Linked DNA regions of Cricetulus griseus. The protein of the gene in region 1 purifies or fractionates together with the protein of each later gene. This does not show direct contact. Links are inferred from orthologs where the notes say so. Each region holds a gene or a part of one and is shown in the gene's direction. Other genes may lie near its edges. The genes, in order: Fkbp5, protein argonaute-1, Mcmbp, Cdk4, Ikbkb, Akt1 and Ikbkg.

Evidence for each region.
Region 2: the proteins of Fkbp5 (region 1) and protein argonaute-1 purify together in Homo sapiens (affinity purification with mass spectrometry; 6 studies listed by BioGRID and IntAct, with this or other methods). This does not show direct contact. The link is inferred for Cricetulus griseus from reciprocal best matches to the Homo sapiens genes FKBP5 and AGO1.
Region 3: the proteins of Fkbp5 (region 1) and Mcmbp purify together in Homo sapiens (affinity purification with mass spectrometry; 3 studies listed by BioGRID and IntAct, with this or other methods). This does not show direct contact. The link is inferred for Cricetulus griseus from reciprocal best matches to the Homo sapiens genes FKBP5 and MCMBP.
Region 4: the proteins of Fkbp5 (region 1) and Cdk4 purify together in Homo sapiens (affinity purification with mass spectrometry; 3 studies listed by BioGRID and IntAct, counting the BioPlex papers as one, with this or other methods). This does not show direct contact. The link is inferred for Cricetulus griseus from reciprocal best matches to the Homo sapiens genes FKBP5 and CDK4.
Region 5: the proteins of Fkbp5 (region 1) and Ikbkb purify together in Homo sapiens (affinity purification with mass spectrometry; 3 studies listed by BioGRID and IntAct, with this or other methods). This does not show direct contact. The link is inferred for Cricetulus griseus from reciprocal best matches to the Homo sapiens genes FKBP5 and IKBKB.
Region 6: the proteins of Fkbp5 (region 1) and Akt1 purify together in Homo sapiens (affinity purification with western blotting; 3 studies listed by BioGRID, with this or other methods). This does not show direct contact. The link is inferred for Cricetulus griseus from reciprocal best matches to the Homo sapiens genes FKBP5 and AKT1.
Region 7: the proteins of Fkbp5 (region 1) and Ikbkg purify together in Homo sapiens (affinity purification with mass spectrometry; 3 studies listed by BioGRID and IntAct, with this or other methods). This does not show direct contact. The link is inferred for Cricetulus griseus from reciprocal best matches to the Homo sapiens genes FKBP5 and IKBKG.

Annotation. Positions count from the first base shown.
Region 1 is NW_023276806.1:233,539,780-233,543,279, reverse strand, and holds part of Fkbp5 (peptidyl-prolyl cis-trans isomerase FKBP5), read left to right. Parts: intron 1-2,101; coding exon 2,102-2,258; intron 2,259-3,500. UniProt on the Homo sapiens protein: Immunophilin protein with PPIase and co-chaperone activities. Component of unligated steroid receptors heterocomplexes through interaction with heat-shock protein 90 (HSP90).
Region 2 is NC_048595.1:26,573,538-26,577,605, forward strand, and holds the start of protein argonaute-1, read left to right. Parts: upstream 1-1,268; coding exon 1,269-1,293; intron 1,294-4,068.
Region 3 is NC_048596.1:72,054,593-72,058,092, forward strand, and holds part of Mcmbp (mini-chromosome maintenance complex-binding protein), read left to right. Parts: intron 1-408; coding exon 409-497; intron 498-1,782; coding exon 1,783-1,909; 3' UTR 1,910-3,500. UniProt on the Homo sapiens protein: Associated component of the MCM complex that acts as a regulator of DNA replication.
Region 4 is NW_023276806.1:130,641,208-130,645,263, reverse strand, and holds the start of Cdk4 (cyclin-dependent kinase 4), read left to right. Parts: upstream 1-1,256; 5' UTR 1,257-1,414; intron 1,415-1,869; 5' UTR 1,870-1,889; coding exon 1,890-2,107; intron 2,108-2,251; coding exon 2,252-2,387; intron 2,388-2,493; coding exon 2,494-2,661; intron 2,662-2,813; coding exon 2,814-2,923; intron 2,924-3,449; coding exon 3,450-3,500; intron 3,501-3,814; coding exon 3,815-3,950; intron 3,951-4,056.
Region 5 is NW_023276807.1:60,985,494-60,989,769, forward strand, and holds the start of Ikbkb (inhibitor of nuclear factor kappa-B kinase subunit beta), read left to right. Parts: upstream 1-1,476; 5' UTR 1,477-1,590; intron 1,591-1,862; 5' UTR 1,863-1,880; coding exon 1,881-1,985; intron 1,986-4,276.
Region 6 is NC_048598.1:181,392,298-181,395,797, forward strand, and holds part of Akt1 (RAC-alpha serine/threonine-protein kinase), read left to right. Parts: intron 1-2,873; coding exon 2,874-3,002; intron 3,003-3,500. UniProt on the Homo sapiens protein: AKT1 is one of 3 closely related serine/threonine-protein kinases (AKT1, AKT2 and AKT3) called the AKT kinase, and which regulate many processes including metabolism, proliferation, cell survival, growth and angiogenesis.
Region 7 is NC_048604.1:1,290,595-1,294,624, reverse strand, and holds the start of Ikbkg (NF-kappa-B essential modulator), read left to right. Parts: upstream 1-1,230; 5' UTR 1,231-1,328; coding exon 1,329-1,331; intron 1,332-1,848; exon of another isoform or gene 1,849-2,002; intron 2,003-4,030. Other genes in the region: G6pd (glucose-6-phosphate 1-dehydrogenase), read right to left, coding at 342-461. UniProt on the Homo sapiens protein: Regulatory subunit of the IKK core complex which phosphorylates inhibitors of NF-kappa-B thus leading to the dissociation of the inhibitor/NF-kappa-B complex and ultimately the degradation of the inhibitor.

The DNA of each region.
Region 1 (3,500 bases):
TGCCTTTGATACAGTTTGACTTTCTGGTTTTTTTGCTTGTTTCCTGCACACTTAAAGAGAATTTCTGAAACTGTGTAGTCATTTCAAACACATTACATGATTGCGAATCAGTCTAGGGAACCGATAGTAAGTGGGGACCCTTTGCAGAAGTCTCTGGACTTCCTGTTTTGAAAACACATTCAGACTTGATCGACCAAAAGCCACAACAAATGTACTGATAGCTTCCTCCGAGCTAAAGACACCGCACTTGAGGAGGAAGGTGATCACCTAACAATAAACTTCAGAATTCCCTCCCCCGCCAAATCTGTCAGTCTAAAGATGTGCTTACCTTGTGCATGGGCAAGAACTCCTGTGCTCAGCAGATCTCTAGTGAGAAGTTGGTCTAAATTCTGTTTATTTTTGGAGGTTCTGGGGCTTGAACCTCAGGCTTTGTACCTACTGGGCAAGTACTCTGCCACTGTGAGCTACCCCTATCCCTCTCTTCACTGTTTCTTGTGAGATAGGCCACAGTGTATGCTTCTCCGGCCTCAGCCTTTTGAGTAGCTAGGCTTAGAATAGATACCCAACTTCCTAAAAACCCAGTTCCTTTAGAAACATCACCTTTACTCTAGAAAAACAAACAAAACAAAAAAAAAACAAAACCATGGGCCTCAGTTGTGCTCCCAAACCTCTGGTGTACATGTATTTTAAATTTTTAAAATAAAGTTAAGTCTTTTTTTAAAAAAATGGAAGCGGCTGCTGGCAGTGCTCACAGCTGTCCAGCTGGATGCCTCTCACACTACACTCAACCTGGTTTTTTCACGCTACCTGTGCACTGGGGGTGGGGTGGGGGAGGTATCTGCAAGTTAGCTATTATTTTATTTAGAACATTCCAGAAGTGGTCATCATAGATATTAACAAGTGTGGGAAATAAAACAAGAGGCTCTATGCACACCCTGAGATCCAGGCTGCAGCCCTTGCTTTGAAGGAACTGACTCAGGATTTGGGTTGACAGCCGAGGGAGCAACCAGCGTGGTGTTCGTCCTGGAGGTTGTCCTGACTCTGCTGACTGAGGCCCTGCTGTTGATAGTCAGAGTCCCTCTGACTTATCAGGCCTAGGCTAAAGGTGCTGGATCAAATGGTTAACCACAGGAATTAGCATTAAAGGTGGCTTCTAGCTGAAACAGAATCATAGACCTTCAGGCCTTTTAGGAGACTGCTGAGATCAGATAAGGGTGGTGGAGGGAGTTGGAATTGGGTCTGTGTTTGGAATTTGACAGCTGTCATAGGACACATAGTTAATGTGTAAGAGAGGGTGGATTCTCAAGACTCTGTAAAGCAAGTTACGTAGTTACTTACCCCACATCAGTTAAGCAGCCTAAGAACTTTCCAGATTATCAAAGAGGAATCGTGGTGACTGTTGCACTGGCTCACAAGCCATTTTTCTTAGTGAGTAAAAGACCTTCGAGAAAGGCATATGGAACATGGGCATTAAAGGTAGTTGGGCTGGGGTGTAGCTCTGTGGTTGGTTGTTGCACAAGTCCCTGGGGTCAGTCCTCACCGCCATACAAAGTAATTGGAACAAGATGTGGTGCCGGCCTGTAATAATATAATAAGAAAGCACTTGGAATGCAGAGGCAGGAAAATAAGAGTTCCAGGCCAGCCTGAGATATATAAAAAGACTGCCTCAAAAAAAAAAAAAAAAAGAAAGAAAGAAAGAAAGAAAGAAAAGAAAATCTAACATGAATGTATCATTGGAGAAATGACATTCCAGGCTTGGCATTATTATTGGTTTATTTATTTCACCCAAGCATCTGAACCCAAGATACTGTTACAAATGGTTAAGCCATCGTTGTATATTGTCAGGACTAGATGCGTGGCATTCTCCTTATTGTGTGTTTAAATAAGCCAGTATATCCTGACCTTGTGTCACAGGTAAGAAAACTAGTATTCATTTAACCTAAAACAGAAAAATATTCTTGTTCTTAAACTTTCACACTGGGTGGGCAAAGCTTCTAGAAGACACTGTGTGTGTCTTGTGGACAGAGCTGCACTGTTGGCCGCTCACTTGACAGGCAGTGCTGAGGGGTGGCTTGTGACTGTTCTGTCTCCTCACCCTCAGTCCACCTGGAAGGCTGCTGTGGTGGAAGGATGTTTGATTGCAGAGATGTGGTGTTCATTGTTGGTGAAGGAGAAGACCACGACATTCCCATTGGAATTGACAAAGCCCTGGAGAAAATGCAGAGGGAAGAGCAGTGTGTTTTATATCTTGGACCACGGTAAGAAGCGCCCGTTTCCGTATGCAGTGTAGCTGTCTGAAGACCTACTCTCTCACTCGGTGCTTTTGCTATCACAGTGAGGTCATTGCATTGAGTCAGGTGGTAGTCGGGAAGTTTGTGAGCGGTTGGCTCAGCTCAAGTATGTTTAAGAATAGGGCAAATAAGCCTTGTTTTTGATTTGTTCCTATGCCATGGTGCCACATCAGCAAAGATTGGCTGGTCCTCTTTTCTGTCCTCTGAGTTCAGCAGGAGAGTGCTGAGAGCTGAAGTAGGGCATGATTTACTACCCCTTGAATGCATGCCACATTCTTATATGGAGTCCCCGAAGGAAGAAAAAACCAGCTTGTTCTTCCTGGATCTAAAGACAGCGGAGATGACTCATTTTTGCCTAAATCTTTCCCGTCATAAGGATAGCCATTAGCACTTCCAAGCTTAGAACTATCCGGCACTGACAGTCTCTTGTGAAAACATGTTTTGTATTATTTTTGGTCTAAAATTGTACCATAAATTCAACTCTTCTATCTTGAGAAATGGGCCCTGAGAGAATCCAGGGATGCCTGCATGCAAGAGCATCTCCTTGGCCAGAGTGGCCTCACGGGCTCACAGATTGCAACTGGCAGATCTGAGTTCTGAGACTCTTCGGCCTGCCCTCACCCCTCAGGGGTCCCTGACAAAACGCCAGTGCTTGTCTATAATCCTGTTCCTCAGTAGTTTTAGCCATGCCCACACTTCCTTGAAAGTTCTTCTAGAATGCTCTGTCCTGATCCTAAAGCCATTACGAGGCCCCTTTGTCTGCTGCCTTTCTCTCAACCCTGTTCAGTGCTGCAGTCCTGCTTCAGGGTTTCAGTTTGCAATGGGCTGTAGTTCACTCTACCCTACTTTTTGACTGAAAACTTTTTTTCTCTTTGCAGACTTGCAGAGCAGGTACTTCATAGCCTACAGTCTCCAATCTTTTTTTTTTTTTTTTTTTTTGAGATATCTTCTCACTTTGTAGCTCTGGTTGCCCCAAAACTCAACTGTGTAGACCAGGCTGACCTCAAACTCTGCCTGCCTCTGGCTCCCATGTGCTGGGATTAAAGTTTACTAATCACTTCTAATCTAACATTCCAAAATTACAGGAGCTCCACACTCAGGTGGCGGCTGTCTCAGATATGCTTTCACAGTTGAGCCCTTAAGGATAAGTTCTGTAAAGTGTAACCATTCAGGGACACATGACCCAGATCTGTAAGTCTTAACCCAGCT
Region 2 (4,068 bases), on another chromosome or scaffold:
TTAAATAGGGCAACCGAGACAGGAACTGACATTTTTGGCATGAAGATACATTCCTTGAAACAGGACATGTACATATGTTTTATGGGGGAAAAGAAAGGGTCAGGTTTGGACTTAAATTTGAAGAGTTAGATCCAGCTGGAGCTGTCCAGCAGATAGTAGGAAATTTGAAGCCGCTACGTGGTTAGATAGAGATACTTGGGCTTTTGGAGTGGATGAAGCCATGAAGAGAAGGAAGAGTAGAATATAAAACTCAGGTTGGAACTACAGTGAACAAAACAACAGTTTTAAAGAAAGCTGAACAGGACAGGCATTAGGAGACTTAAGAAAATGGAAGAGGCCAAGTAAATTCTTAAAAAAAAAATGCTTAGTGTCAGATGTTGAAAAGCAATAATGGAAAATTAGCCTTTGGGTTTTGACACAAACGTCATTGAAGTGATTTGGTAAGAGCAAAATTCTGCAGATGAGAAAGTGGAGCCAGGTGCTTCCGCGTCCTGCAGATAGAGAGCTCTGTTTCTACACTTGAGTTGAAACTGTGACATCTTCCAAAGTAGGCAGGGTCTCTTAACACATCTGTGGTCTCAGCGCCCGCCCAGGCAGGCGGCCTGGAAGAGGGTGGCGTCAGTGAGATCAGCGACTAGGGACGCAGAAAAACTGACTTCGCAGAGGCAGCCAAGACTTAAAGGATGAGGGTGATTGGGAGAGGTGGGAGGCTGGGTCCCGGGGTGAAGGGATGTTGGAGGGGAAGAGGGCCGGGAAATGAGCTGGGAACCAGGCTCTGTGCCGAGGGCAGGGACTGCGGGCAGGTTCCCAGCGACCTGAGTAGGGAAAAGACAGGGCCCCAGGCTGCAGCCGGGGAAGGGGTGTCGCCCAGCCCCGCCCCACTTACGCCACTGCGCGGTTCCGCCACCGGAGCCCTCCCGTCAGGCTGCACGGCCACGGGTGGCCGCCAGGGGCCGCTGCCTGGGCCTCTCGCCCCCGCCCCTCTCCATTGGCCTTTGTTGCCGTCGAGCGCCCCGCTTGACTCGTTCCCGTCCGCCCCCTGGGCCCATCGGTCGCGCCTGCGCACTGGCAGTGCTCGCAGGGGGAGCTGCTGCAGGCTCCGCGGCGGCGGCAACGGAGGCTGCGGGGGCGACGGTGCGAGCGGCCGGGCTTCGGGGGGGAGCCGAGCCCGGCCCGGGAGCCCGAGCAGTGCAAGTGCGAGGCGCCTAGGCCCCTCACGCTGGACTCCTCAGTCTCCCGGCCGCCTGTTCACCGCACGGGTATATGGGATGGAAGCGGGACCCTCGGGAGCAGGTAAGGGCCCTCGGGAGCCGGGAGCGGTGTGTGTTCCAGAGCCCGGAGGGCTCCCGCGGGAAGAGCATGGCTCCAGAGGGCGGGGAGGGGCTCTCAGGAGATGGGGGGCCCGTTTTGAAGGGGCTGTGTGCAGTTCCGGCGGAGAGCCATGTGAAGATCTGAGACCCAGGCTGTTTGTCCTGGGAAGCAGTATGCAGTCCTGTGGGTGGGAAGCAATCTAAGAGAAGGGCCTGAATGCACCGGAGTCCTTCCGTGAGGTTATTAGGGAGGCCTGTGGGGAGGCCCGGCAGGTGGCAGGGGGGCGGGCTCCAGGTGTCCAGGAGAGGAGGGGGGCGACACAGATGGGCCTGTAACTACCGCCTGCCAGGGGCGGGGGCTCGGCCCTGCTGGGCTGGGCTAAGCTAATGTCTCCAGGGAGAAGGCGCCGGAGCTGGGCTCTGTGCTCCGCCCTAACTGGGCCTGAAGCGGGGGTGAGGGTCAGGGGGCGGTGGGTGGGGATCCAGTCCTGGGATTTCCCCCTTAGGCTGGGGACTTGAGTGGTGGCCCGCGAGCATGCGCGGAGGTACCAGCCTAAAGGGCTGCCCTATGTGGTGGGGGCGTGGCTGTTTGAATACCCCTACCCCTCCTCTGCCCTGTTTGGCTTGGGAAAAGGAGCGCACTGATGTGTGCATTCTCTCTTAGATTGTGTTGGCAGAATACAAATGGAAATTGCTTCATCTCTGTCTTGGGGTCTCTGACACTTGGTCCTTAAGCCCCGCAGTTAGCAGTTTGCCAAAGAATGGGTTGAGGTAAACTGCCAGAGTGCCTTTTTCTGCCACATGAGGAAAGACTGGGACCGAAGCCATGCTCTGGGAGCTGGTTCTCTCTGAAGACAGGCCTTAGAAAAGTGTTGGTCATTGAGAGACCAGGCCCATATGCTTTGCAGGTTTCTAGACCGCTACTGAGGAGAGATGGGAGCTTTTAATCCAAGGATAACGTCCTTTTCCTTGAACTGGCTATTTATGTTACAGTGTAATCTCTATATATTTGTGAGTCCTGTTTCCCAGTGGATCTTTTCCCATGTCAGGGGCATGTCGTTAGACTCAAGGTTGCCAAGCTAGTCTGTCTGACAGAAACAAGTTGTTGGAGGTGTGGACGTGATTATTGATCGCGATTGTAGCTCTAACTTATGTTTTCTTGTTTATAAGCAGGAGAAAAGTAGATAAGAGGTGAAACTGAGGCAGGGCTGCCCAGAAAAGACTGGAGGCTATAGACTTAGGATACTTTTTGTGTTCTAGGTCTCTTACCCTCTAGTAGAAAGTACGGTCTGGACCCAGAATCCTTTGGGTTAGCTCTCACCACCTCCTTCCATTTGGTGTAGGGATGGCAACACGATATCTGTTTAGATTACTTTTAAAGATTTTGGGAAACATCTGTTTTTCAGGCCAATAATAGTATCGATCTTAAAACTCTCCCCCAAGTCTGATTCAATGATCTGTGATGTGTTCCTCCAAACACAAATAGCCTTGTAAGGTAGAGTGTAAATTCTAGTTTTCTAGGTTGGGGACTGCTAACAACAACCTGTGGACTAGAGAGTAGGGTGGTGAGGTCACCCACATCTAGACATACTGAAGGCTTGTTTTCCTAGATTACTAATGATTTTATCTTGATGGATTCGTAGTGGGTTCTGGAGTGATGAAGACATGGATTTGTTTGTTACAAGAAAGAAGCTTCTAGGTGAAGGTCTGGAGCATGGGAGTCAGCTGTGTCACTGGAAAAATGTTAGTGGCATGGGGTTTGCCTAATCAAAAGATGTAATCCAAATTCAGGCTGAGAACTCTGATGGAGACCCCATAATTACTTCCTTCTGGGACTGGGCAGTAATACTATTTATTCTTGTAAGATGTTGAAGAATTTTTTCTGAGAAGGCTCATGTGCAGATGTGCCTTCAGTGTGTAGGTGTGTTGGGGCATGTGGACTGGCCTGGAAGCAAGCGCATTGAGGGTGGAGGTACTTCCCGACTTATCTGTGGCAGCGGCACATGGAGGCCCTGACACAGAGTGCATGTTTATTAATTGGCTCAGATCACATTCAAGTGTGAACATATGGTTAAACTCATGTGCATATTCTGTAATTGTGTCTATGTGTGTGGGTGTTTAATGTTTGTGAACAAATATTTCTGGAGAGATTGGTCTCTTAGTCTTTTCTGACTCACCATCTAACTTACCAAGGGTACTTGCCCTTCAAGTAGGCAGTCAGGTTCTTTAGGGAGATGTGTGAGCCTTGGAGTTGTTGGAGAGGAATCCTGACGGTGGACCTTGAGCTCTGTTACTTTTCCTTCTCAGTGCTGGTAGGGGATGGGGGAGGGGGAGTGTCATTTTCAGGGCCCCTCCCTTCTTGCTTTTGTCTGCAGGGAAGGGCCCCGCCCCTTTCCCCCTAGGCTGGAGCTTTGTCCTCTGTGCTGGGGCCCTCATCTGCATCACAAAGTGGCCGTCTGTCCCTGTCTGGGTCTGAGGGGAAGTGTCTTCCTTTCTCAGACTAAAAGCTGGGGGCAGGGCGAGGTTGGGGAGTGGAGACTGTACAGCTGTGGACAGAGCTTTCCAGGGGCTAGAATGGCAGAGAGGTAGTTCTTCCCTCCTGCCTGCTTCCCTAGTTTGGGGATGGCATGGAGATATGTCCCCCATTTTCTTTGACTCCTGGGGAGGAGAGTGTCCTAAGTTCCATTTCTGGGGAAAAGAAAGCTCTGAGGGGAGTGTATGTCCTACCTCTATCATTTTTGCTCAGCCCCTAGTTCTA
Region 3 (3,500 bases), on another chromosome or scaffold:
GTATAAATGATCCCCAATTTACTGGGAGTTTCCAGGGTTTTGACACAGCCATTGTTTTCTGCTGTATTGGACCCAGGCAGGCCTGTAATTTGTGATCCTTCTCTCTCAGCTTTCAGGTGTGCACAATAGCACGGCATCACACTGTGGAAGATGCTGGCTTCTGTGCTTGCTTGGCATTCTCAAGGGGGACACAGCTGCATGTAGAATGTTTTCCATGTTGCATTTTGTAATGGAGATTAAATATTTGGTTCTTTCTCTTTTTACCCTCCTTGGCTTATTTGTCCGTCTATTTTTATTTCAGTCAAGGACCATGTTTCTTTTTCTTTACAACAATAAAGAAATAGTTTGAAATGCACTTAAAGAGGTTTGAAGCAATACTTTTACAAATATATTACTCTTTTGATAAAGGCGGTTGAAGATGATTTTGTGGAAATGCGTAAAAATGATCCTCAGAGTATCACAGCTGATGACCTCCACCAGTTGCTTGTGGTGGCTCGGTAAGTGTGCTCATCTGTATTCCCCTTTTTTGTTGGCCGTATGCAATTCTGATTTATTCAACAGTTAACCGAGGCAGACTTTTTTGTTTGTTTTATATTTCGAGACAGGATTTCTCTGTAGCTTTGGAGCCTATCCTGGAACTCTGTAGACCAGGCTGACTTCAAACTCAGATCCTCCTGCCTCTGCTTCTGCTTCTGCCTCCCGAGTGCAGGGATTAAAGTTGTGTGCTACTACTGAGGCTAAGGCAGACTTCTAAAAACAAAGGAACTTTTCCTTCAAAGACACCTTCTAGAGTTGAGCAGATGGGTAAAGCTTTTGCCTAAGGACTGAAGTTCAGATACACCTGAAATCTGGGTGTACATGGCCACAAGGAGTCTCAGAGCAAATTGACTAGCTTAGTAATACTAGCCAGCCTTTGGGTTCAATTGAGATACCCTGCCTCAACAACTAAGGCAGGGAGTGATTGAGGAAGATCCTTGATGTCAGACCTGGGCTTCCCACAAACACGGACAGACATGGAAAAAGTTAAATAAAAAGAAAACTCATTAGGTGGAGCTTGGAGAATCCTGTGGAAGAGGGGGAAGGATTGTAGGAGCCAGAGGGCTGGCTCAAGGACATCACCAGACAACCCACAGAACCAGCTAGCCTGGGTTCATAGGAGTTCACAGAGACTGAACTGATAACAAGGGAGCCTGCATGAGATTGACCTAGGCCTTCTGCTCATATGTTACAGTTGTGTAGCTTGGTCTTCTTGTGGGACCCCTAATAGTGGGAGCAGGGGCTGTCTGATTGATTCTTTTGCCAGCTTCCGGGACCCTTTTCCTCATACTGGGTCGCCTTGCCCAGCCTTAACACGAAGGGAGGTGCTTAGTCTTATGTAACTTGATATGCCATGTTGGGTTGATATCATGGGAGGCCTATTCTTTTCTGAATAGAAACCGAGGAGGAGTGGGGGGTTGGATTGGTGCAGAGGGCCAGGTGGTGGTGGAGAGGAAGGGGAGAAAATTGTGGTCGGGATGCTAAAAAAGTATGATATTAAAAATCACTAAAAAAAAGAATGCCTACCTAATGAAAGTGCTTATTGAGGGTTCATATTTGCCAGTGATCTCAGCAGGAGAACAGTCTTGTTCTCTAAGCTTTTAAGAGTTGAGCACCCTCTAATTCTGGCTCTCCAGGGATTCCTTTGCTCATGTGTAGCTTCTGATGGGCTTTCAAAGATTTCCTAGTTGTTAAAACTTTAAGGTAATCTTCCTAACTCTAGGTAATTTTTAAATTTCAAACCAGGTTTCTGTCCCTGAGTGCTGGTCAGACAACACTATCAAGAGAACGATGGCTAAGAGCAAAGCAGCTGGAGTCTTCCAGAAAAAACAGGCTTCAGCAGCACAAATGTGTGAATGGGAATGAACTTTAGAGTTCTGAACTTAAGAAGAGAATGGGCAAGCTATAGCCTCCATGCTGTACAATTCAGATTCGTTTATAACATATTGTTTTATAGATAATTTGTATCTAAAAACAATGACTTTTCCTGAAATCAAGCCTGGTGACACCTAAAGTTTATATGATTCTCTGTAAGGGCTTTTACCTTACTGGTTTTATGGAGTTTTGGAGTTTGTTTTATAATTAGTTATGATGTACAAAAATGTCTTTGATATTAAAGGTTTAATTATGATAATGTTGCTGATCATACCATCTCCTTAGCTATAGCTCCATCTTAGGCCAGACTCTTGAAGTACCAGCTTCGCCTGAAGACAGTTACTGGAAGAACTGTGCCCTCACATTTCTCTCTCTGTGTTAATGCAGAATGGCTCTGGTCTAAGTGTATCTAGTCGGAATGTACTTGCCATTGATTCTTGTGAACTCTTGTAGTGTCATTTCTACATACCTGGCCATAGAAACCTTTTCCCACTTACAGTTGTTAAATACCCTGCAGAACTAGGCTTTCCCATGGCAGGGGTTCCCAGCTTTTAATTTAATGGACTAGTAATACTTCCAGAGATCTCTGGGGTAGAGTGGCCAGTTAATTTGCCAAGTCATTTGGGGAAAAAAAAAAAATCACTGTGATCACCATTTTGTTTTCATAAAAGGACACTCAGATAAGAGACTTCTTTCCTTGGAATAAATGCAGCTTTGTGAAGGTCACCACATTGTCCTTAGCTTTTCTCATACCCTGCATTTGGGAACTGTCATTTTAAGGGACTCTGAAGGGAATGCTACCCCATGGAACCTTACCCAAACATGGAAAATGAAAATACAAAAAAACCTATTTAAATTGTAAACTTTGATTGGGGGGGGGGTTAGAATCCTTCCTTCCTTCTGCTATGTATTGAACTCTGGCCCCTCACACATGCTGGAGAAGTGCTCTACAACTAAGCTACATTCTTAGCCTGTGGGGGTGGGTACTTTTAATAATTTTTCTCATTATTTAGCCAATTTGATGACTGTACTGGATTTTGAGCTTTTAATGTAAGTTTGTCAGATGGTTTCCACGTGTGTTAGATGAGTAACGTCATTTGCTAGTATAGTAAAGGCCATATAGTCACAGGTAGGTTTTCCTCAGACCTATTCATTTTGATATGCATATCTTCCTTCCTTCCTTTTTTCTTTCTTTTTTTCCCGAGACAGGGTTTCTCTGTGTAGCTTTGGAGCCTATCCTGGCACTCACCCTGGAGACCAGACTGGCCTCGAACTCACAGAGATCCATCTGCCTTTGCCTACAGAGTGCTGGGATTAAAGGCGTGCGCCACCAACACCCACCCAGCTTGATATGCATGTTTTCAAATAAACAAATGTTACTACTTGTCATTTGCAAATTAATATAGCATAACCTTCAGAAAGGTTAGAACATTGCTTTTAAGCTATGATGTACATGAAGATGAATTAATTTGGATACAAATGAATTAAATGGTCCCTTAATTTTCTCCTACTAAAGAGGCTTATGTTGACATTGTTAACCAAGGAAACAGGGTCAGCCCAATGAAAGGAACTACAAACTACCATTTCAG
Region 4 (4,056 bases), about 100 Mb from region 1:
CACAACGAATGCCAAATCTACCTGTCTACCTAGATTTCTGTGGGCACAGACCACTTGGGAAATGCCCATAAGGGCAAGAGTAGCTCTAAGAAAGCTGCATTAGAAATAAAAAGGAATGTGACACCAATGATGAGTTGCATGTTTGCAGAGGGACACAAGACGTTCTCGGGCAACATGGTGGTCTGAAGTGGTGTTGGTGACCGCCCTTGTACACGCTCACCGTTTTGTCTGTTCATATGCACAATTACATACATATGTAACACAATACAGAATCTTAGTGTTAAGAGCCTTTTAAGATCAGGCACCCTGTTGGGCCGTAGTGGTGCACGCCTTTAATCTCAGAATCCCAGCACTTGGGAGACAGAGGCAGGCAGATCTGTGTAAGTTCGAGGTCAGCCTGGTCTACAGAGAGAAACCCTGTCTCGAAAAAAAACAAAACAACAGAGTTTCCAATAACTCCTTGCTGCTTTTAATATTCCCAGGGAGGTTTGCAAGTTGGAAGAGGGGAGGGCATTACGTTGCCACTCTTCCCATACAGTGACTGAGTATATTAATCCTGCTGTCCATCTTTTAGCCCTAGTTTCCTTCTTGGATAGGAATCGTACTCCCTGTTTCATAAGGGGCCACACTTGCCTACATTAGATACCCTCATCATTACTTCAGAGGGCGAATGGCTGAGACACCAAAACAAAAACATCACATACCAACTGGAAAGGAGCCCTTAGTAAAATTTTTGTTGAATGAATGAGTAAAACGAAGGCACAGTATACGAATGCTCCTTCCCCATGGCGCTGGAGTGAAAAATGTGACAGTCCCATCTCTGGTACCAGGATCTCCCACTAGCACCCGGACCTCCCCGCCCACGTCCAGACAAGGAGTGAGACGGAGAGATGCGCACAGGCTCGGCCTTGAGCCCAGAGTTGAGAGCCGGCTGGCCCGGTTGCCATGGCACCGCCTGGTGCTCCACCCTCCCTCGCCCCCACACACCCCCTCGGCAGTCAGGGACTGGCGGCGGGTCACGTGGTAGGCGGCGTAGCCACGCCTCTGCTTCCCAGCGCAGAGCTGAGGGGTCACGTGGGATAGCAACAGGTCACGTGCCCGAGCGAGTTTCGCCCCCCCCATCCCAGGTCATCCACTGCGCATGCATGGATGGATGGATGGATGGATGGAGACCACGTGTCCGCCGCGAACGTCCGGCGTTCGCCCCCCCCCCCCGGTTTCCGCGCGCCTCCCTGGCTGCTGGTCACATGGGGAGGGTGGGGGTGAGGGGGGCCTCTCTAGCTCGCGGCCCGTGTCTATGGTCTGGCCCGTAGCGTCCAGCTGCCCGGGACCGATCCCCGGTGTATGGCGCCGCAGGAACCGGCTCCCGGGCCCAGATAAAGGGCCACCTCCGCAGCTCTTGGCCGGGCGAGAGGTGAGTGCAGCCGCTTGCAGGGATGGGGCCCGGCGCCCCGCCACCACCCTATGGATCCCCTCGTTGTGGAAGGATGGCCCAAGGGCGGGAAGCGGGGCCTTTGTGGTCGCGGCCAGCGTGTGATTTTAGGGAATAAAGTGTGCAACCTTCGATGCCAACGCCGTGCATTGTGATGGTCTTCTTTGTGCCCGGTGCGATGTCCCGTTCTCCCCCCTCCTCCTCCCCGGGAGGAATGCATTCTTTTTCGCCCCTCCGGGACATCACGTGGCTGGAGGGCTCGGTGGGAGAGTCTTTTGTGTTACCTGAGGCGCGGCACTCTGGCAGCGTGGAGGGAGGGGATGGGCGGCTGTGTCGGTGCGGTCGTGGGCAGGAATTCCTTTGTTACTGCTGGGTCATCCCCCCTCCTAGCTGTGAAGGAAAGGAGGGCTTGGTTTTAGAAGCCTCTGTGATTGTAGGAGATCTCCCTGCTCCGAGAATGGCTACCTCCCGCTATGAACCGGTGGCTGAAATCGGTGTTGGTGCCTATGGGACGGTATACAAGGCCCGAGATCCCCACAGTGGCCACTTTGTGGCCCTCAAGAGTGTGCGAGTTCCCAACGGAGGGGGAGCTGGAGGGGGCCTTCCCATCAGCACTGTACGCGAGGTGGCCTTACTGAGGCGGTTGGAGGCCTTCGAGCACCCCAATGTTGTACGGTGAGGAGGTTGGATTGGGAGTGGGGAGGAAAGAATGGGATCTGTAAGCCAGGGGTGTGGTCGTCGGGAGTGGGACCCTAGGACTCCAGAGGCCACGTTGGAACAAAGGACATTGACCGGCTGGCGACTGTTTATTTTTGTCAGGCTAATGGATGTCTGTGCTACCTCCCGAACTGATCGAGACATCAAGGTCACTCTCGTGTTTGAGCATATAGATCAGGATCTGAGGACATACCTGGATAAAGCACCCCCACCAGGCTTGCCAGTTGAGACCATCAAGGTGAGCGGGCTGCTCGGTGAGAGGTGGATCCGGGTCTTTGTAGTAGGGACTCTTGGGGTTTTTGAGCGTGTTACATGGTGTCCGGGGCTTTCTCCTTCAAAACCAGGACCTGATGCGACAGTTTCTAAGCGGCCTGGATTTTCTTCATGCAAATTGCATTGTTCACCGAGACCTGAAACCGGAGAACATTCTGGTGACTAGTAATGGGACAGTCAAGCTGGCTGACTTTGGCCTGGCCAGAATCTACAGCTACCAGATGGCCCTCACACCTGTGGTGAGTGGAAAGATGGCAGCCCCAATGGGATTCGGCTTTAGGTAGTACTTGATTTCCCGTAGCAGCTGAGGTGTGTTGTGCTTGACGTTCTCAAAGCCCAGCAGCTATGAGCCATGAAAAGGACTCTCACTCGTTTCTCCTCTTCTGTTTAGGTTGTTACACTCTGGTACCGTGCTCCTGAAGTTCTTCTGCAGTCTACATACGCAACACCCGTGGACATGTGGAGCGTTGGCTGTATCTTTGCAGAGATGTTTCGTCGAAAGTACGGGGCTTGAAACTTTTGTTTTTTAAGACAGGGTAGCCCTGGCTGTCCTGTGACTCCCTCGGAGATCCGCCTGCCGCCACCACCTGGCTCAGGGTGTGGAACTCTTAGGTCCCTTCAGTTACACAAATCTTTTGATGTTACTTATGGTGTTAGAGGTTGAAATCAGAACTGCACATACACTGGGCAAATGCTCTATACCACTAAACTACACTCCCCGCCCCTGGGTCTTTTTACAAGACATACCCGTTCTTGACCATTTTTGTGCATATGGCACTGGACGCCCCAACCTAGGCTCTTGTATTTATCAGGCGCGTGCCCTGCCACCCAGCTATAGTCCCAACCTATCCTGTTTATGTTCACCAACTTGCCTAAAACCAGAAACGATGCAGGCAAATTTCCTGAAATGTCTAGGAATTAGGAACTTTGTGTTCCCTTATTCTCCGTCCTCTCTAATCTCAGCCACTTTGATTATCATTCCCTTATTTCTGAAATAATATATACTTGGAATATTTTTCTACCTTAGGCCTCTCTTCTGTGGAAACTCTGAAGCTGACCAGTTGGGCAAAATCTTTGAGTAAGTGTCCAATAAAGGGGAAAGAAATCCCCCCCCCCCTTTTTGTTTGTTTTTTTCGAGGCAGGGTTTCTCTGTGGCTTTGGAGGCTGTCCTGGAACTAGCTCTTGTAGACCAGGCTGGTCTACAAGATCTCAAACTCACAGAGATCCGCCTGCCTCTGCCTCCCAAGTGCTGGGATTAAAGGCATGAGTCACCACCGCCCGGCTAAAATTCCCCATTCTTAATTCAGTTTCTGCTCAATTCCAAATGGCAGTTGGCCCTGGAGATGGAAACTGGAAAAAGCCCCCCTGACCAGATTTGTGTTATCCCTACAGTCTCATTGGATTGCCCCCAGAAGATGACTGGCCTCGAGAGGTATCTCTTCCCCGAGGAGCCTTTTCCCCCAGAGGGCCGCGGCCTGTGCAGTCGGTGGTACCGGAGATGGAGGAATCTGGAGCACAGCTGCTGCTGGTAGTGGGCATGGGCCAGGGAGGTGGCTCTGTGATAAAGCTTTTAGGGCATAAGTGTAAGGACCTGAGTTTGAATCCCCAGAACTCGAGTAAAAGCTATGTGTCAG
Region 5 (4,276 bases), on another chromosome or scaffold:
TTTGTTTTTTTTTCTTTTTTTATAATTTTTTTTAAGTTCCATTTTATGTTTCCACCTCAGTTCTCCCTCCTACTCTCCCTCACCTCCCCTCTAGTCCCCCCCCACACTCCTCCTCCCTAGTAAGGGCTCTCATAAGGAGTCAACAAAGTCTGGCACATTAAGTTGGGGCAAGACTAAGCATTAAAGCTGAGCATGGCATCCCACCATAGGGAATGGACTCCAACAAGCCAGTTCATATACCAGGTTTGTATTGTGGTCCTACTGCCAGGGACCTCCCAGCTAGTCCAAGCTTCACAATTGTCTCCCACAAACAGGGGGCCTAGTTTGGATCCATGGAGTCTCCACAGCTCTCTGCCTAGAGCTCATTAGTTTCCACAAACTTGGTTCAGCTGTCTCTAGATTTCTCCGTCATGATCTTGACCTCCCTTGCTCATGCATTCCCTTCTCCCTGTCTTTGGATTTGGAAGCTCAGCCTTGTGCTTGATTGTGGATCTCTCTGCCCTTGTATTTGCCTGAGCTCACTGTTTTGCTTGCTTTAATAATAAAGGAGTGAGAAGTTCTTTATTTGCACTACTCTTGAGTTCAAATGCTTAGAGTCCCCTGGATATCCAACGAAGACCTTTGGCATATCCATCAATCCACTGAGAGTTAATCTTGCTGGTGGCTGCCCATGCTGGTATAAAGGGCCAGTAAGTCAAAAGCCTCATGCCAGACATAAGAGAAGCTTGTCTCGGCAAAAACTTTTCAAGCAGTTCTGACAAATGTAACCATACAGGAGAGATTGAAGTCTAGACAATGATGGTGGACCAGAACACACCTTGAGCAGGGCTGCTTAGTTATGTATGCCTCTAGCCTTCCATTTAAACCCAAACCTTATGTTAGGACCCCAGTATTGGACCTGGGTTCGCAGAGGCATGGGTGGGAGTGATTGGGCCTCTTTCTGTCTTTTCTCTCTCTTTTTCGGCTTTTCAGTGTTAGTTGTGTCGTGAATTAGGCCATGGAGGGTGAGTGGCTGAATGTGACCTGTTGGGGGTAGGGGAGAGGCAGGTAGGAGAGAGTGTCCTGGTTCTTGACCTAATACTGCAACTCCAGCTTAGGTAGACACAGTTTTTTGTTTTTGTTTTGCTTTGTTTTTGTACTCTTCCTCCTCTTTTGGGGGGGTGGGGTGGGGGATGGGAGTGTGTTACTTTCTGAGGAGTGTCAGTGTCTGTTTTTCATTCTTAGCACTGAACCAGGAGCATTCAGATTCGATGAATGGCAGTGGGAGCACAGGAAGGCAATTCGTATTACAGTCCTAGTAGCCACTTAGCAGATTCTCCCGACCCTCGTTAACTGCCTAGCTTGTTCGATGAAACTCAACTCGAAAAGCCTAGGGTAAAGCAGTCTCTACGCCGCCAAGTCCAGAACCCGCCTGCGGGCTGTGGCTGCATCTCAGCGAGCGGCTCGCACGTCTCCTTTAAGAGCCGCCAAATTCCCGTGACGTCAGGGCAGGAAGTGTTTGAGGAAGTGGCTCTGGGCTGGCTGCGTGGGGACCCTAAGTTTTCATGCCCTCTGTGGGTATCGCTGGCGGCCCCGCGGCCCCTGGGGCAGGTGAGTCCCACGCGAGGGCCGTTCGCTGCGCGTGGAAGGCCCGCGTGGACGCGTGCCCCGCCTCTTCCCGGGGTCTGCGGTGGTGGCTGCTAGCAGTGAGGACCAGGACCGCCAACGGGCCGGGCCGCGGCAACTTTTATTTATTAACTAAACCCTCTGAGTCTGCTCCCCTTCCTTACCTTGAAGGGCAGCAGTCGCTACTGCCTCCCCCTGCTTCTCGAGCTCCATTGTTTCGTTACTCTGAACTTGTCTTCTCTTCCTCTTGCTTCCAGAGTTAGCCGGGCATCGATATGAGCTGGTCACCGTCCCTCCCAACCCAGACATGTGGGGTTTGGGAAATGAAAGAACGACTTGGGACTGGGGGATTTGGAAACGTCATCCGATGGCACAATCAGGTAGGGCTCTGGCCCCGGGGAGAGCAGGTGGACTTTCTTGGTGCTGCTAATGCCAAGGCCGGTGCAAATCGGTGAACTCCCGCCTAGTCTTAGCATGATCTAAAAGGAGAGTAAGAAAGGGGGACTGCAAGGGAGGGGGGTGTGAGAGCTGCTAAACTGACTCTTAAAAACCTTGTTAACCCTGCCACTTAAATAAGGTGGAAAAAAAGCTGTCATTCTAAGTGTTAGACTAATATTAAACTAGCATGTAATGCATTGCATACCGGTGAATGTCACAGAATACAGACCGTGTTAAAAAGATGAGAGCAATAAAGATATTTTAAATAACTTTTAAATTTTAAAATATTTTTAAATAGTTGATAAACCCGGAGTCTTTTGTAATACCGAACTGCACAAAAGACAAGGAGTTAAGGATAATGGGTGAAAAAGTGCAGAGGGTAGGATGGTGAGTGGCTTGATTTCTCTTTTGAGCTGATCATATTCTCATTATTTTGGTCTTTATGTGTCTGAGTCGAGTTTCTTGTGTTACAAGTTTTTGTTCTTCCAGAGGTTTTGGTTTGGGCTGGTGGTTTAAGAACACTGAATTCTTTGAGGGACTCCCTTTAAGTCACCCGTTTACTGTGTGAGAGTTATTTTATGCAATTTGGATAATGAGTTTATGGTAATGCCTAAAAAGTTCGTGGCACCTGTAATATTCCTGTAGCTCCATCCATCCTTCTGCTGTAGATCACTTTCCTCAGGGTTGCTGAGTACCAGATACGATGTGCAACTAACTGACTAACTTGGGGGTCACAGCCTGTGCCCTAAGCCAGGTACTGCTACCCATCCTCAATAAGCCCATTAAGAGTTAATGTAATATCGGAGAGCAGAAGATTGGGTCAGTGTAGTCACATTGAGAGGAGGAACAGAGACCCAGCAAACCTCCCAAGTCCATCTTCAGGATCCTAAATGAGATTAAGGTTTAAATAGAAGGCCATGGATATGTGCATCACAGCAGTCCAGTGGTCCAGCTTACCACTGACCCGTTTTTTTGTCACCCTGTAAGATTTTCTGAGAATTTGTCAACAAATCTTTCTTCAGAAGACAAATTCCCCTTCTGGATGGTGGTTTCTCCTTTCCCAACATGAAATTCCTGGGGAATCCCCATCTTTGGGGTGCAACATTTGAAATTGTCTCTTTCATTTGTATCTTCATTTCTACCTGGCCAGTTACAGGACCTTCTGATAGACCTGGGAGGTGCTTTTATTTTATTTTATTTTATTTTATTTTATTTTGGATTCTAGTATTGGGCATCACTTGAGAAACAACCAAAATTAGAAACTACCCTTCTAGGGAATCAGTCCTTCCTAAATAGCTGTAATTAAAGTCTTGAGTAGTCTAGGTGAGAGACTAGCCTGACTGATGGTGGCGATAGGAAGAAGTGGGCAGATTTAAGAGCTGTTTAGGGGTAAAATGAGCAGGACTTGGATAGGATAGGAGGGTATTGGGGTCAGAGTTGGGATGGAGTTCGATTGAAGTGGTGCTGACTGAAGAACCCGTTTGCTTAGTCTGAATTCCTCCACCATCTTCATGGGCTAATCCTCCGGGAAAGCCAGGGGGCTGCTTTGGATGTGCAGAAACAATCTTTAATCCATATCTGAGATCAAAAGGTACAGTGTGCTTTCTAGTGGATGTACCTCTGTCCCAAGCCTCTTGAAAAATGCAGCTAGATGTGGTAGTATGCTTGGCTTCACATGTTCTTGCTATTTCCTGTGCTTTCTCCTGTCTATAAGCAAGAGAATGGATGTAGCTATCACAGGAGAAGTGCTGCCTAAGAACCAGGGTCATTGCTGTAAGCCTGTTGCATGCCAGCATCAGGCTAGGTGTCTCCTGTGCAGCTTTTGTTTGGCATTGCCCTGAGCTGTGAACCACCCTTATCTTACATAATTCACTTCTGGGGTCGACAACTCTAATTTCCATTTTGTAGCCCAAGAAACAGAAGCACTGGGGAGTTAGTTAATGTTCAGAAAGAGGATATACTGTCAACATGTACATCTATTTGGATCCAGATGATATATGCCACGGTGGCTTCTCCAGGTTGGAACTAGAGTTTAGGACATGCCTAACACATTCCCAGTTATTTTGGAGGTCCTGTTTGTTTCTTTATAGTCTACCCAAGCCATTTTGAGGCACTAAGGAGAAATGAAGGGATACCTAAATCTGTATTCCTCAGTGAAAAAGAGCAGTGTAGCAGTGACCCTGCTCCAGTTCTCTTGGCTCTTGATTCCCCCACACAGTGTGGGCTTGCCAGT
Region 6 (3,500 bases), on another chromosome or scaffold:
TGTTGGCTGGTTTTGTTGTTCAACGAGAAGCTGTTGTCAGGCATCTGGCCTCAAGAACCATGGGGACCACACTGTGGAGGTGGCACCTGGTTATTTGTCATCTGTTCATGTCTGTGTGAACACGGGCCTGGTGAGGAAACTCCAGGTGGAGCACAGCACCTCTAGTGGGCCGTGAGTACTTGTGTTCCCAGAGGCTGTGTGGACAGGTGGAAGGCCCCAGCTGCTGCTGCGCTTCACCAGCTGGACTCCGCCTTACCTGTTTTCAGGGTACCAGGCATCCAGATGGGGTGAGGGAGTAGAGAAGAGCCTGGATGGGCCAGAGCCTAGCACTTCTGCAGGGGCTCAGTATCAGTCCCTCCTTGTTGGAGTGTGAAAAGCTGGAGGGAGGCCCCAGAAGGGGGCAGGGGTATTCCTAGATACCACGTGGCCATGAAGGACCAGTGTAGCCACCTCTTGTATTTGTCTGTCATGTGTTGGCACAGTTCTTTTGGAGGGGTGGGGCTTGGGGTCTGTCTGGACTGAACTCATTAACATGCAGGCCACATCCTAGGCTGCAGCTGGCTTAGCTGGTACCCCCAGTGACCATTTGGCTAGACCTTGAGGCCGGAGATGAAGAAAGAGATCTGTGTGTCAGAACTGTGGCTCCCTTTCCTCTGGAAGAGGCCGCCACCGGGAAAGACCTGATGAGGTCACTTCACTTTACATTTCTCCTTGGCCAGGAGGCCTCTGTGAGGCCAGGGAGGGGAAGGGCACCTAGGCCCTTCTGGGTACTTGGCTTTCTCTGCCTGGTGAGTGTCCCTGCCTGTACCTCCAGGTCCACATTCTGGAATCTGCCTGGCCTAGGGGCTGGTCATGCAGGCTAAGAGCCAGTTGTAGATAGGGTGGTGGTCTTGTCTGGGGGCCTGCACTGGGCACAGTGGGGTGGGCAGCAGTTGGTAAATCAAGATGGATTTCTGGGGTGCGAGTGTGTTGCTCATCAGCCTCCGTACTCAGTTAGTGTCCCGGGGAGCAGCAGCTGGTGAGATGGAGGCACTCCATCAGGGGCCGACAGCTCCAGACTGGTGCTGGCGGGTGGGCGTGCACAGCGGGGGCCTAGGGAGGAACGGGGTGGGGGGGCTGCTCACCCCCCATTGGCTCTGCTATATTACCCAGGGCCCCTGCCTGCCCACTGAGCCTTCGAGGCCCTATGCCAGGGGAGGGGCTGTCATGGGGCCACTGGCCATGTGAATACTGCAGGTGTGTGCCACCTGGTCAGAAGCCAGGCTGGTGCCTGCAGGGGTTCAGGGGTCTTCGAAAACCTGGATGGGAACCCTGTTCTGTGTTTTTGTTGTGTAGGCAGGTTGCTGAGCCTTAGGCCCTCCTGAGTGAGGGAGGGTTGGCATTGGTCATTGCTTTGAAGCCCCCAGTGGCTGTGGGAAGTGGCCGGCTGGGGAGCTGAGCTTCTGGGAACTAAAGATGGGAGGCAGGAATGGGTTTCCAGGTGTCCTAGTTCCAGCTACTTACGGACTGTAGGCCTTTGGAGAGAAGCAGAATAATCTAGCCTAGGCCCTGGAGGACCACCAGGCACATTTGGGCACATGCAATGGAGTCGGGAGGAGCTCGAGCTTGCTCTCTTTGCTGCCCCTCTCCATTGTGAGGCTGGGGTCTTTGTCAGTGCTGATGGCAGGCTTAGGAGATCTGCAGTGACGAGGGGACAGGATCCCTAGCTCTAATAGCTACCAGCTCCCTGGAGTGTGTGTGGGGTGTTGGCCTGGTAGTGGCTCTATCACTTCTTCTCTCACCAAGAGCCTTTGTCCGTCACTTAGGCTTTCTCTTATCCTGATTCATGCAGGGCTGTGTAGGGTCATGCAGAGCAAGGCTGGTGTCGGAAATGCCTCCAGGGTGTCAATTGAAAGGGACTAGACGGTGGAGTCGGGGGAGGTAGGTCATGTGAGGAGTCTGGCAATATACTGCCCAGAGCCCCTACTTCGTGTACCCTGGAAGGCCCTGAGAGTCTGAGCTGGTGAACTATACTGGGTAGACTGTATCTCACCTGCACGTGTTCTCAGAGAACACCTGGATTTAGTACATACCATGAGAGGGTAGAGAAGGAAAGCTAGCTAGCCTCCCTGGGGCTGTGGAAAATGCGTTAGGTGCACTGCCTGGTGCCTGAGACCAGGGTGTTTGTCCTTGTGACTTGGTCTGCATCCTGGAGCACCTGGTGGCAGGTGGCCTGGTCCAAACAGTTGCTCCCTGCATACCCCTCTAGGTGCTCTTGCTCAGGACTCAGTGGGACAAGCAAAGTTCATCTCAGATAGAGCTCAGGGACCCCAGCCCTGTGGGCTGCCCCTCCTGTCCTCAGTCTAGTGTCCCCTCAGATGAAGAAGTTGCCTAATTAGTTAGCTCCCTGTTGTTCAGACTCCTTGCTCGGCAAAATGTAAATGAAACATTTTTTCCGGGTGTCAGTATGAAAAATGACAGTCGCTGGGAGATCACAGAGGACATCTGCTCTGATGTCTGAGTGTGGTGCCTGCTTCTGGCTGATGCTGCAAAACTGGAGGAGGGAACAATGTTCCTGTGTACCTGGGTGACCAGGGCAGGACTCAGCTGGACACAGCACAGGTCTCAGCTAGGACACACACGTGCGCACGCGCGCACACACACACACGCGCACACTCGTTCCAGCCATGGCACCTCTTGACTCTGCTGCACAGGCAGAGCCCTGGAAGATGCTCCCAGCAACATGCACTGGAGCTCTGCCCCAGTGCCAGTGCCTTCTGGGAAGGAAGTGGCCCAGATCCCTTCCCTACCTCTATGTGCCTAGGTCCTCTCAGGTGTCAGGGCCACTGCAGTGTTGTTCACATGCAGCTCCTTATGCCCCCCCCCCCCCGCAGGGGAATACATTAAAACCTGGCGGCCACGCTACTTCCTCCTCAAGAATGACGGCACCTTTATTGGCTACAAGGAACGGCCTCAGGACGTGGAGCATCGAGAGTCCCCCCTCAACAACTTCTCAGTGGCACGTAAGTGTCTCGGCCATTTGGGTTGAGTGAGATGGCTAGGCAGGCCAGCAGGTTTTGTCCTGGGGTGCTGGGCAGTGCTAGCTTTGAGTCACCTCCTCTAGAGCTGGCCAGTGGCCAGCTCTGGCTGGGCCAGGGAGCCCTTGCTGTAAGGCTGAAGGTTCCAGCATGTGGTGACTGGACCTGGTTTAGAGGGTGGGTTGACCAGGGTCCCTTTAATGGGGACTAAACAGGCACTCAAGGACATTCACTGGGAACTCTTGGGTAGACTGAGAAGAAGGTTCCCAGTTCTAGGAGCCTAAGACATCCTGGGAACCATTTCTGTATTGTTTCCTGGGAAGACCATTGGTAGTCCTTTGCCCTGGGTCTTGTGATCGCCTTAGCTGGAGTGCCAGGATTGGTGAGGGTTATAAAGTTGAGGATATTGTGAAACTATCTTTGAGAGCGTGGAGCTTGAGAATCTATGTCCTTGTTCTCTGTGTCACATTGTGACAGCCCAGT
Region 7 (4,030 bases), on another chromosome or scaffold:
TGGTTGCACCTCAGTTTTTTTTTTTCCATCCAGGAGGAAGAAGTTCAAGTAGATGGTGCTTTAGAACTTGCATGCTCCAAGTCTGGCCCACATTTAATGGCTGAACATAGATTTCTGAAAAGCCTTGCAAATGAGAAATTTGACAGAAGTACATGATGTACAGCAGGTACTGACTGCTGTGATGATCAGGACACACAGGTGGGAACATATGCCGTGAGTTCAAATTAGAACCTGTGTGGCCCCTTAGCAGTCAGTTGGGAAAGTTCAGGTAAAGAGAGAGAAGTGCCTTGCAAAATGCTACATTTGATTTTTTTACACTCAGGGCCTGAGGGGAGACTCACCGATGCACCCATGATGATAAATATATGTGTATCAGCTTGGTGGAAGGCATCACCCTGGTACAACTCTTCCCTCAGGATGCCACACACCTGGGTCCGGCTCAGGGCCACCTGCTCTGCCATGGTGTTTTCTGGTGGAAGAAAGACTCATTGATAAGGCAGGAGAACAGAAGAGCATTGACAACTTAACCTTATCAGAATCAGAAACTGCTGCTTCTGGGCTCCAGCCATATCCTATGTTGTCTTCTCTGGGGGCTGTACATTACGAAATCTCTATAAGCATTAATGGAATTCAGCTAGGGAATCCACTCTGGGAAAGCGACGCGGTCAGAGCATCGCACTGTGTCTGGGGCCATCGCACTCCAGTCTCTGCCAGAAACGCCACAATGAACTGAGCATCTTTTCATTGTGCAGATGATGGAGTTCAGCCCCAGCTCTCTGCTGGCCAAGCTAAATGATCCCAGAAAGACCCTTCTCTTCTAAAAGTCTAGTCCTCATGGGCCTAATGCGGGGAAGTGCGGGGTACAATGGGATGGGTTAAGACCTCGTAGATCTTTTTCCATATCCAAGCATAACAAATAGCGCTCATCAAAGGGACACGCGGCTCATAAGCGGGAAGCACATCCCTCCACCGGTGTGCTATCAGACCACCCCCTTTACCTGTGTTTAGTTGCTGCTGCCAAACAGGTTTACAGTTCTGGAGTGCACAGCTCGTTTCCGGGGGCTGCGCTTAGCTGGCTCGTTTAACGCAGGAGGGCGGGTGCTTTGACTGAGCTGACCCGCCTCAGGAGAGGCAGGAGAGGAGGAGCTTCGGACTACTCCATCGGTGAGGGAGGGGAGAGTAGCAGAAGTAGGTGCGCACGCATCCCTTGTCAGCCCCACCCTGTTGGCCGTCCCTGCTTTCCTGCTCCGCGATCGTGATGCTTTGCTGGCACAGATACAGCTCCGCACAGTTCTCCTGCGTCCCCATCGCTACCCCAGCCATACTTTATGGTCTGTTTTCCGATGGACCCTCGAGTCCCTGCGCACTCCTGGATGACCCCACTTCCGTTAGCAGCATAGCCACGCCTCCCCTTGCAATCGGTTTGGCGTCCTTTAGCAGCTTCTTCTAGGCTTTTTCCATGGTAGGGACCTGGTGGCAGAGAGCCCAGTGACAGAACCAGACTAAAACTGGGGTGTTTCATTGCGAATGCGACGCCTTGAAAATGGGGTGGGGACAACTGTGGGCGAGGTGACACACGCCTTTAATTCCAAGCACCCGGGAAGCAGAGGCAGGTAGATCTGGATAGCTAGGAGAGAGACCCTGTATCAAAAAAAAAAAAGTGTGTAAGTGTGTGTGTGTGTGAGTGTGTGTGTGATCTTTATCAGTGAAGAGCGTTGCGCTCTTCGGTTAGCCAATGCAGGCTGGCGGTCTGAGGCTTCTCTTCAGAGTGGGATGCAGCACTATTGTGGCTTCGCAGCTCCAGTTAATCTCCTCGACTTCGAGTCTGTGTTTTACTTCCGGATCCCACACTTACGACACCGGAAGCCGGAAGCAGGGGTTTCCACAGCCGAGAAGGGAAGGGTGACCGCCCAACCAGGACTTTCTGAGAGCTCCGATTCAATCTGAGAGGTCGGGTTCCGCTGCTCAGGCCCTCTTCACTTCTGGCCGACTCTGCTGACAGGTGTAGTCCTCTTCTCCAAAGATAGGGCTCCATCGGTGGCCATTATGCAGCTTCCGAGGCTCCTGAGCCCCCTTCCCCCCACCTTGGGCCCAGTTTGTTCTGTTGCATGCTTTCGAATGCTTTTTAGAGCATTTATTCAAGAAGTGCAGATTCGCGACCCAGCTTACTTGGACTGATTTCTGTCCTTCCCTCTGCTTATCTGTCGCCTAAGGGCTTGGCCCCAAGTGCTAGAACTCTTAGTTCACAGACATTTTTCTGTTGATGAAACTTTGTTTTCTGAAACAGCATCTCGAAATGTAGGCCAGGCAGACCACGAGCACAAGATTCTCCTGCCTCAGCTTTTTCAAGTGTACCGACTTTGCCTTTGTTTTTGAAGGGTTCACGATAAAAGGGAGAAACAGTCAAAGTTATCTTTGATGTAACTGGTCCCAGTGGGGTCAATTGATTGTAAAAGGCAAGGGAAGAAAGCATGGTGATCTGTAAAGAGATTATTGCAGTAATCCATGTGAAGGATGATAGTGCTGTCAGCCTTTTATTACTGAAAACTTTAAAAATGTACAAAAGTAGAAATATTAACATAGTAAGTTCCATGTACACATTTCTTAGTTGTCTCTATCAACTCATAGCTAACTTTAATTCACAGCCCTTACAGTACTCTACCATGATTTTTTTTCCTCTTTAGAAAAGATGTTATTTTATGTGTGTGGGTGTTTTGGCTGTGAGTATGTATGTGTACTACATGCTTGCCTGTTGCTAAAGGAATTCAGGAGAAGGTGTGAGGTCCCCTTGGATTGGAGTTGCAGATGTTTGTGAGCCACCATGTGGGTGCTGGGAACTGTCTCTGCAACAACAGCAAGTGCTCTTAACCACTGAGTAATCATCTTTTTTGCTCCACCCATTATAATTTTCAAAAACAGCTTTCTTGAGACATAATTTGCATGCTGCACCATTCACATTTAAAAACTAAAAATATTTACTATTTGTGTGTGTGTATGCATGATGTGTGTGGAGTGTCATGGCCAGAATGTGTTCTCAGGTTTCCAGGCTTGCATACCAATAGTTATCCACTGAGATGTGTCACTTGCCCATAATTCAAAATTTTTGGAGAGAGTCTCATGAAGATCCCTTCTTTTTGAGTTTCTCATCCTCCTGCTTTTACTTCCTAAGTACTAGGATTTACAGAAGTACACCACCACATCTGGCTACAATTCACGTATTTAAGGTGTATAATTCAGTGGTTTTTAGTGGGTTCATAGGAGTGTGAAAACATCACTAATTGCGGAACATTGTCATCATCCCTAAAAGAAATCCTAAATAAGAAACTCCAATCCACCTCATTTCTCTAAGTAACCACTAAACTACTTTCTGTCAGGATTTACATGTTTTGGATATTTCTTATGCTTGTAAGTATATACAGTATATAGCTTTTAGTGACATTTCTTTCTCTTAGCAATTATTTGGAGCATGTGTTCTTGTTTTTGTAACAGATTTTGCTTATTCATCAGTTGGTGGACATTTGGATTGTTTCCACTCTGGCTGCTTTGAATAATGCTGCTGTGATCATTTATATATGGACATGTGTTTTCATTTCTATTGGGTTTATCCATAGGTATCTCTTTTGTTATGCAGTGAATTTCAGACATGTGAGTGTTTCATTATGTATCTCTTTCAGAAAGTACTCTCAATAAACATAACTACAACACCATGATCACACTTAAAATACCTAATGTTATAGTGTGTCTTCATGAATTAAAAAGATGGGCAGGGGGGAAGATAAAGGAACAGAAAAACTAATCGAACAAGCAAGCAAAAACTCAGAAATGCTCAAATTTTTTGTCCTGATAGTTGGGGGATGGATTTGTTTTCAACTGATAGTAAGGGAAGTTGTGGATAGAAGTGGATTTGGGAGACTCACTTTTTTGGGTACTGCTGGGGATCCAGAGTCTGGTGAATGTTTGGCAAGTACTCCATTGCTGAGATATACTTCTAGTTCTGGGAAATTAATTTTGACAAGACCTCTTTTTATTT